Linked DNA regions of Macaca mulatta. The protein of the gene in region 2 purifies or fractionates together with the protein of the main gene of each other region. This does not show direct contact. Links are inferred from orthologs where the notes say so. Each region holds a gene or a part of one and is shown on either strand. Other genes may lie near its edges. The genes, in order: COPS5 and BTBD1.

Evidence for each region.
Region 1: the proteins of BTBD1 (region 2) and COPS5 purify together in Homo sapiens (affinity purification with mass spectrometry; 3 studies listed by BioGRID and IntAct, counting the BioPlex papers as one, with this or other methods). This does not show direct contact. The link is inferred for Macaca mulatta from reciprocal best matches to the Homo sapiens genes BTBD1 and COPS5.

Annotation. Positions count from the first base shown.
Region 1 is NC_133413.1:77,749,726-77,753,542, forward strand, and holds part of COPS5 (COP9 signalosome complex subunit 5), read right to left. Parts: coding exon 3,583-3,817; intron 2,447-3,582; coding exon 2,318-2,446; intron 1,679-2,317; coding exon 1,613-1,678; intron 895-1,612; coding exon 809-894; intron 1-808. UniProt on the Homo sapiens protein: Probable protease subunit of the COP9 signalosome complex (CSN), a complex involved in various cellular and developmental processes.
Region 2 is NC_133412.1:73,671,833-73,676,156, reverse strand, and holds the start of BTBD1 (BTB/POZ domain-containing protein 1), read right to left. Parts: upstream 2,802-4,324; 5' UTR 2,731-2,801; coding exon 2,333-2,730; intron 1-2,332.

The DNA.
Region 1 (3,817 bases), on a different chromosome or scaffold from region 2:
ATACAAAAATTAGCTGGGTGTGGTGGCATGCGCCTGTAATCCCAGCTACTTGGGATGTTGAGGCAAGAGAATTGCTTGGACCCAGGTGGTGGAGGTTGCAGTAAGCCAAGATCATGCTACTGCACTCCAGCATGGGCAACAGAGCAAGACTATGTCTTGTGGGTCGTGGGGGAAGGTATGTAATACAGTGGTTTTTAGTAAGAATTCTTATACTTTATAACTTTAACTTTTTAATATGGCTTCTTTAATCTTTCAAATCTTTCAAAGATTAGAAAGAATCTTTGTTCAGTAGAAATTATATATTTTGAGGGCTGCAGACATGCTAGTGTCAGCTGGCCCTGAACCCATCTTTATCTTGTCATAATTTTATATAGGCCAAGTATCTTGTACATTGAAAAAATGTTTAGGTTGTGTAAAAGGCAAATGACATGCTAGTTTGAAACATTAATAAAAAATGCAAAAAAAAAAAATTAAAAAATGCAAACATTCACCTAAATTCATATACTATTATTGTAAAAGCTATCATGAAATGTATTTTGTGCTTTTTTTCTCATCTGTAAAAAAGGGCCTTGGACTGGTTGATATCTATGGTTTCTTTCAGCCTCCTGAGTGCTGGGACTATAGGACTGTGCCACCTCATCTGGCTAACTTTTATAACATGTTTTGTAGAGATGGGGTCTCACTATGTTGCCCAGGCTAGTGTTGAATTCCTGTCCTCAAGCAATTCTCTCACTTTGGCTTCCCAAAGTGCTGGGATTATAGGTGTGAGTCACCATGCCTGGCCCAGATATCTTTTTAAATTACTTACTGTTTGCAGTGTACACCAAAATCTTCTATTTTATTAAGTGGGATAGTCTGGTACTCAGAAGGTCCTTCATCAGGAGGTTTGTAGCCCTAAACAAAAATGAGGCAAACAGAAGATTAAAAATATATATATATAAACGAGAAAAACATCATGTTTTCTATGCAGCTTTCTAATTACAGGATTATTAATTTTGGGAGGCAAATACTTAACATGAGCATTCTAATAATAAAAAAAAAAATACTGTTTCTACTTTCCCCCTACCCTGTTTGGTGGCTATAGGCTGGATTTTGCTTACAGATTTATTTTTCTTCTCCTTAGGTGATGTACTTTTGTTCTAATTAACTATTTTAGATTGCAGGCTCCTGCCAGGGAAGGAAACAGACCTATAGATTTAGCTCGTTTTTTCTCTAGTACCTGTCAGAATGCCACAGGCACACAGATGGTTATTAAAGACTGCTTTCCCAGTAAAATTAACAATATATAACATAAATGTATTACCCTTTGCTAGGGACAGCTTGTGGTAGTTTACTATTTTGTAAATATTATTAAATTGTTTTAACAAAAAGAGATATTGCTAATGTCTTTAATAATAAGTCAAATATTTGGAATTTAAAACATGTAAGGACTTATAATTTTAAAAATTACTAAGCATTCCTACAGTCCCATCTACTTGGGAGGCTGAGTTGGCTTGAGCCTAGGAGATGAAGGCTGTAGTACACTATGATCATGCCTGTGAATAGCCACTGTACTCCAGCCTAGGTAACACAGTGAGACTCTATCTATCTCTTAAAAAAAAAAAAAAGTTACCTTTGGGTATGTCCTAAAGGCGCCAAGATTCACTTTCCCTGCAGATATTGTTCTTGTTGGATCAATCTATAAGAAAGATATATTTAATATTTACTGATATAAAACTGTATGCCTTTTATTGAAACATTATTAACCTAGAAATGTATACATACATATAACACTATATACATACACAATAACCAAATAAGAATAAACAAACCAAAAAACCAAAGAAGTTCAGTAAGAGGGTAATATAAGTGTCTCACAGCTAACTTAGAGATTAGAATTATTATAATATTTAAGAATATCATTTGAAGGTTTGCTCATCTCTTTTTAAAGTTTTCTTTTTTCCTTTTAAGAGATGAATAATTCCTACCTTCCTCATAAAACTGGATTGCACTTAAAACACCCTGAACATAATAAGAGCTGCTCTAGCAATTCCTGCTTATCTCAGATCAGTCAACACTGATTGAATGCCTATGATGAGCTGGCACTGAGACATAGATGCTATGACTATCCACATTTTATAGAGGGGGGAAGTGAGATACACAGTGGTTAAAAACACTTGCTCAAAGTCTCAGCTTCTAGGAGATGGAATTCACATTGAAACCTAGGCAGACTGACACCAGAGCAATTTCTCTTTACTACACTGTTATTATTTCTCATTATACTTGCTTCAGCAAATCTTCATAAAGAACTTAATTAAACTAGTTTTAAAATTCTTACCACCACTGCTACAAATGGTTCCTGGAACTGCTGATTGAGCATCTGAGTACTAACATCAATCCCAGAAAGCCAGCAGCCATAGCCAGGATGGCTATGATACCACCCGATTGCATTTTCAAGGCGGCCAACCTAACAAATGAAGGGGCAAAAAAGTTTAAGATTACTCTTTAATTAATTTATAAGGTACCAGTACAATAAAGGTAACCAGTCTCCTTCCCATCTCTTTCTCCTCAATTACCCAGTTTTATCAGCCCAGATGTGAAATCTATAGGCAATTGCTTACCCTTAGAGATATTCTTTGTATACAGAATACATATTCTTTGCATATATATAGATTGATAAAAACACACACAGTAGCATACCACGTAACAATAATAATGTTTTACACTTTGCTTTTTCACTCAATAAACTGCTTTGGAGTTTGCTTCACATAAGTCATCAATATACATGACGGTTACCTTTTTTTCTTTTTTTCTTTTAAAGGCTGCCTGGCAGTCCACTGATGGAATATACCATAATTTATTTAGCCAGTTTTATACTCAGTAACTGAGTTAGATTGTTTCCAAATTTTTTATTTTAAACACATATCTGGTAATAAGTGTGAGAGTTTATTTAAAAAAAAATAAAATCCATGCCATAGACCGGGTGCAGTGGCTCATGCCTATAATCCCAGCACTTTGGGAGGCTGAGGTGGGTGGATCACTTGAGGACAGGAGTGGCCAACACTCCTGTCCTGGCCAACACAGAGAAAACCTGTCTCTACTAAAAATACAAAAATTATGGAAGGGCATGGTGGCTCATGTCTGTAATCCCAGCACTTTGGTAGGCCAAGGTGGGCAGATCACTTGAAGTCAGGAGTTTGAGACCAGTCAGGCCAACACGGCAAAACCCATCTCTACTAAAAATACAAAAATTATCCAGGCCTACTGGTGCACGCCTGTAGTCCCAGCTACTCAGGAGGCTGAGGAGGGAGAATTGCTTGAGCCCAGGAGGTGGAGGTTGCAGTGAGCCAAGATCACGCCACTGCACTCTAGCCTGGGCAACAGAGCGAGTCCCTGTCTTGAAAAAAAAAAACACAAAAAACAAAAACAAAAAACCATGCTATAAATCTTATCAGGCTTTTAATCTCGTACATTTTACATATAAATCATTAAAATTTAAATATAACATTTCCTATAAAGGGGATAATTTTAAGTCTAGAAACTCAAAAGTCACCTTGAGACTCTAACTTGCACTTACTAAACTATAAGAAACAACATTTTTACCTGTTTGGCATTTTCTATGTATGCAGCCATGTATTCATATGCAGCAGCCTGAGCATTTACTCGAGTTTCAGTGCCCTCCACAGGCAAAGCAAAGCTGTCCATAATGATCATGGTTTCACCATCCACCTTTCCTAGCATCAGACCCATCACTTCCAAGTTGCCTCCTGATCTGGCATGCATCACCATCTTCAGTAGAGCCAATGCCGAGATTTTGCAGTACTTAAAGTAATGGTGA
Region 2 (4,324 bases):
ATATAATGAGGACGGGATCTACACATTTCATAAGCACCCCAGAAGATTATAATGCAGATGGCCCACAGATCATTTTGAAAACTACTTCTGGTCTAGAAAATCCAAATGAACTATACCCAATCCTCCTGGTGAACTTTAAAATGACCTGGATTTTAGCTTTTAAGGTTCCCCCTCCTTTATAAATGTAATTGAACTAAATTACAGAAAATATCAGCAACAAAGAGAAAAGAAGAAAAAAAGGTACTTTCATCTTACTACTCCAGGTGCCTTTGCTTAGCATTTTGGTATGTTTCCTTTTATCCTTGTCTCTAGGTATATGTTTGTCCATTTCTTTTCACGTTGTAATCATGGTGCAGTTTCAAGTGCTATCCATCATATTTAGTGACCACATTATATTTCATCAAGTGAACCTATCACTGTTTAACCATTCCCTACAGCTGACTACTTCCTCACTACTATAAATAAAGTTGTAAATATTTTTGTACGCAACTTTTTTTCAGTACTTGAATGCTTCTTACATGTGGAAAGAAAATCTATAGCACCAAACTGTTTTCCAAAAGGGTTTTTACCACTATCTTTGTCAGATAACGCTGTTCAGATGTTACCTTTAAATTTTTTGGTGGGATTAATGGAAGGAAAAAATACCACTGTCTTTTATTTATTTATTTATTTATTTATTTATTTATTCTTTTTTTTTTTTAGAGGGAGTCTCGCTCTGTCGCCCAAACTGGAGTGCAGTGGCCAGATCTCAGCTCACTGTAAGCTCCGCCTTTCGGGTTTAAGCCATTCTCCTGCCTCAGCCTCCCGAATAGCTGGGACTACAGGCGCCTGCCACCTCGCCCGACTAGTTTTTTGTATTTTTTAGTAGAGAGGGGGTTTCACCGGGTTAGCCAGGATGGTCTCGATCACCTGACCTTGTGATCCGCCCGTCTCGGCCTCCCAAAGTGGTGGGATTACAGGCTTGAGCCACCGCGCACGGCCAAAATACCACTGTCTTTTAATTTGCACTTCCTAATTACCAGCCAGGTAAAACATTCGTTAATTAGTTGTATTTTTTCTTTGTCTAAGTTATCTATCCTGTTCCTTATCCATTTGTTAATGGAATCTTAGTATTTGTTTCTAGTTGTGTGAACTTTACATTCATTTCCTTGTTTGATTCTGATTCAGTGTGAACCTTTGTATCTAATTCTACCCCACTGACCTGCCTGTTTTTGCTTCAGTACTACCCAAGACTCTGCCACTTTAATAACAACACGTTCTACTCAGTCAGCTATTTAAAACCATCTTGGTATAATGAAACAGACATGGTCTTCAGTGTGAGTTAGCTGTTTGTTACCTTGGGCAAGATACTTGACTCTTCTCGGCCTCAGTCCCATTTGTAAAATTGGGGTAAACAATTCTTATGCCTCCTTAACAGGATGGCTGTGATTAAAAGCTAATAATGCCAAACAATCACATCTTTCCATTAGATGTCAATCTACTATCCTCAAATAACCAACAAGCAAATTCTAACATCAAGGGAGGGATGCATTTATAAGCAAATGTGACCTTGTGTGTAGAAACAGGAAACAGGTACAGCCTCACTTATCTGTTTTGGTATTTACTTTCCTGGGTCTTGACAACTAATACGTTAATGAAAAACAAAACAGTGGCCAGGCCCGGTGGTTTCACGCCTGTAATTCCAGCACTTTGGGAGACCGAGTGGGCGGATCGCTTGACCCCAGGAGACTAGCCTGGGCAACATAGTGAAACCCTCTCTCTACCAAAAAAAAAAAAATTAGCCGGGCGTGGTGGCGCGTGCCTGTAGTCCCAACTACTCGGGAGGCTGAGGTCGGAGGATCACAGCCCGGAGAGGTCGAGGCTGCAGCGAGCCATGATCGCGCTACAGCACTCCAGCCTGGGCCGCTTTCAAAAAACGCGGAGGGAAGGGGGGTGACAATAACCCCAAAACATCAGTCCTGCAAGATTTTTCAACTACTCCCTTCCCCCAGACAAAAACATAAAACATCGCAAATGAGCAATCGGGACAACCTGATCTGTCCCTCTATCCTTGCCACCTGTCTAATTCTGAATCCTGAGCGACAATCCACAATTGGAATGCGAAGCGCCTTTCAACGGTAAAACGTACGCTTGCTGGATGAAGACATGAACGTTTAGTTGGCGACTGAGCCGTCCCGGCTCACAGATTTCGATTTCGACCCTCCAGAGCATCAACGGCTCCGGAGGAAACTGAGGCCCCGGGCGGGTCAGAGGAGCCCAGCCCAAGGTCATCCGGGAGTCAAGGCGGGCCGGGCCCCGGGGGCCCCCTAGCCCGGCCCGCGCCGCCGCTCACCTCAGCAGCGCCAGGAAGGCGGCGGGCTCCACGTCCGGCAGCTCGATCTCGGCCGACGTGGTGGCCATGCCGCCGTTGAACATGGCGTCGAAGACAGCGCTGCCGGCTGCCAGCACGAAGCGGTGGGCGGGGATGCGCTGCGGGCCCCCGGCGGCGGCGGTGCCGCGGCCCTTGCCCAGTACGAAGCGCACATCGCTTAGCAGTTCTGAGTTGAAGAGGAAAGCAAACCGCTCCTTCAGCGACGCCTTGGTCGCCTGCCAGTTGTAAAGAGGTTCCCGCTGCAGAGGGAGCAGGGGCCCCAGAGAGGACGGTGAAGGCGGCGGCGGCCCCGCGGGGCCCGGCTCCGCCTCAGCCCCCGACGCCTGCTCCCCAGCTGCGGCAGGCCCGAGCGAGGCCATCCTCCAGCTGCGCGGTTGCCCAGGCTAGGAACAGAACTCCACCGCCATCGCCGAGACCGCCTCCGGAGGCCAGCACCGCCTCCCTGCCTTCCGGGAAAGGCGCTTCCGGGGGCCTTGCGCCTCCGCAGGCTCCTCCCTGACCGCGCGCGCCCCCGCACGCCGGGGTTGCCGCTGTGCGCGGCAGCGGGAGGTGTGACTGGACGGACTCGAGGAAGCCCAAGGGCAGGGGGGTGGGGAGCTCGTCCTAGTCCAGCGCTCTCGGAGGTGGAGCTTCTGCAGGCTGGGTGCTGCCGGGCCTGCGGGCACCCACCCCCTGGCTCAATCCTCTGGGTATTCTGACTCAGTAGGTCTGGGGTAGGGCCTGAGAATTTGCAATTTTAAGATGCATAGCAGATCTGCAGGCGGCTCGCACTCCTGCCTGGGGATGAGGGGCCGCGAAACCCGTGGAAATTCTGGGAGCAGAGGTGGAAGGCTTAGAACCCCAGTGACCTCTCTCCCCAGGTCCGCAGGTCCCTTTCCCTTCTAATTGCCCCTTTGGTTCGGTGCTCCAGGCTTAAGAGACATTTCCTTTTACTGTTTCTATCCCTGTACTTGAAACCCCTAGTACTTACCCACCTTCCCTTCTAGCGCTTGTTTTCAGTCCTTGCACTGAACAAACCACTGCTTAAGCTTGAAATTTAAAAAATTAAAAATTAAAAAACACACACACAATGGAAAAGGCTGTACTATCCCTTCCCAGTAAGTATTTACAATGCGGATCATCATGATTGGGGGACAGAGGCCTGCCTTCTCCCCCCTTCAGTGAGGCAGGCCCTGAGTTAAGTCAGCTGTTAAAGGCAGAACATAGAAAACCCAAGAAATAGTTATTGACCAGGCACGTATAGTTGGAAACACCTACTCTTTGCAGGAAGAGCCTTGCAGATTACAAATGCCTCAACTAAATAGTAAACTCCAAACCTGGGTTTCTCCTGTAAAATCACTCCACTTGTGAAACCACCAGAGGGGACTTCCAGCTGTTAGGCATTTAGAATGGTAACTTCTTTGGGAGAGGAACGTGCTCGGGAAGAGACTTAAAGCAGTAGGGACTGAAATAATGGATGCAACAACCCCTTCCCCAATGCCAGCCGGCAATTCCTCAAGACAAGGGGACATCATGCTACTAATGATACCATTATCACATAAAACATCGTGATAACAAAATTAACCATATCATCAAATCATCTATACATAATTTTCTTTTTTGACACGGAGGCTCGCTCTGTTGCTAAGGCTGGAGTGCAGTGGCACGAAGTCCGCCTCCCGGGCTCAAGCGATTCTCCTCCTCAACCTCCCGAGTAGCTGGGATTACAGGTGCCTGCTACCACATCCAGCTAATTATTTGTATTTTTAGTAGAGATAGGGTTTCACCATATTGGCCAGGCTGCTCTCGAACTCCTGACCTCGTGATCTGCCTGCCTCGGCCTCCCAAAGTGCTGGGATTACAGGTGTGAGCCACCACGCCCAGTCCTATATATAATATTTAATGTATGGTTAATATTTAAGTTTCCCCACTTGTCTTTTTTTTTTTTTTTTTGAGGCAGAGTCTTGCTCTGTT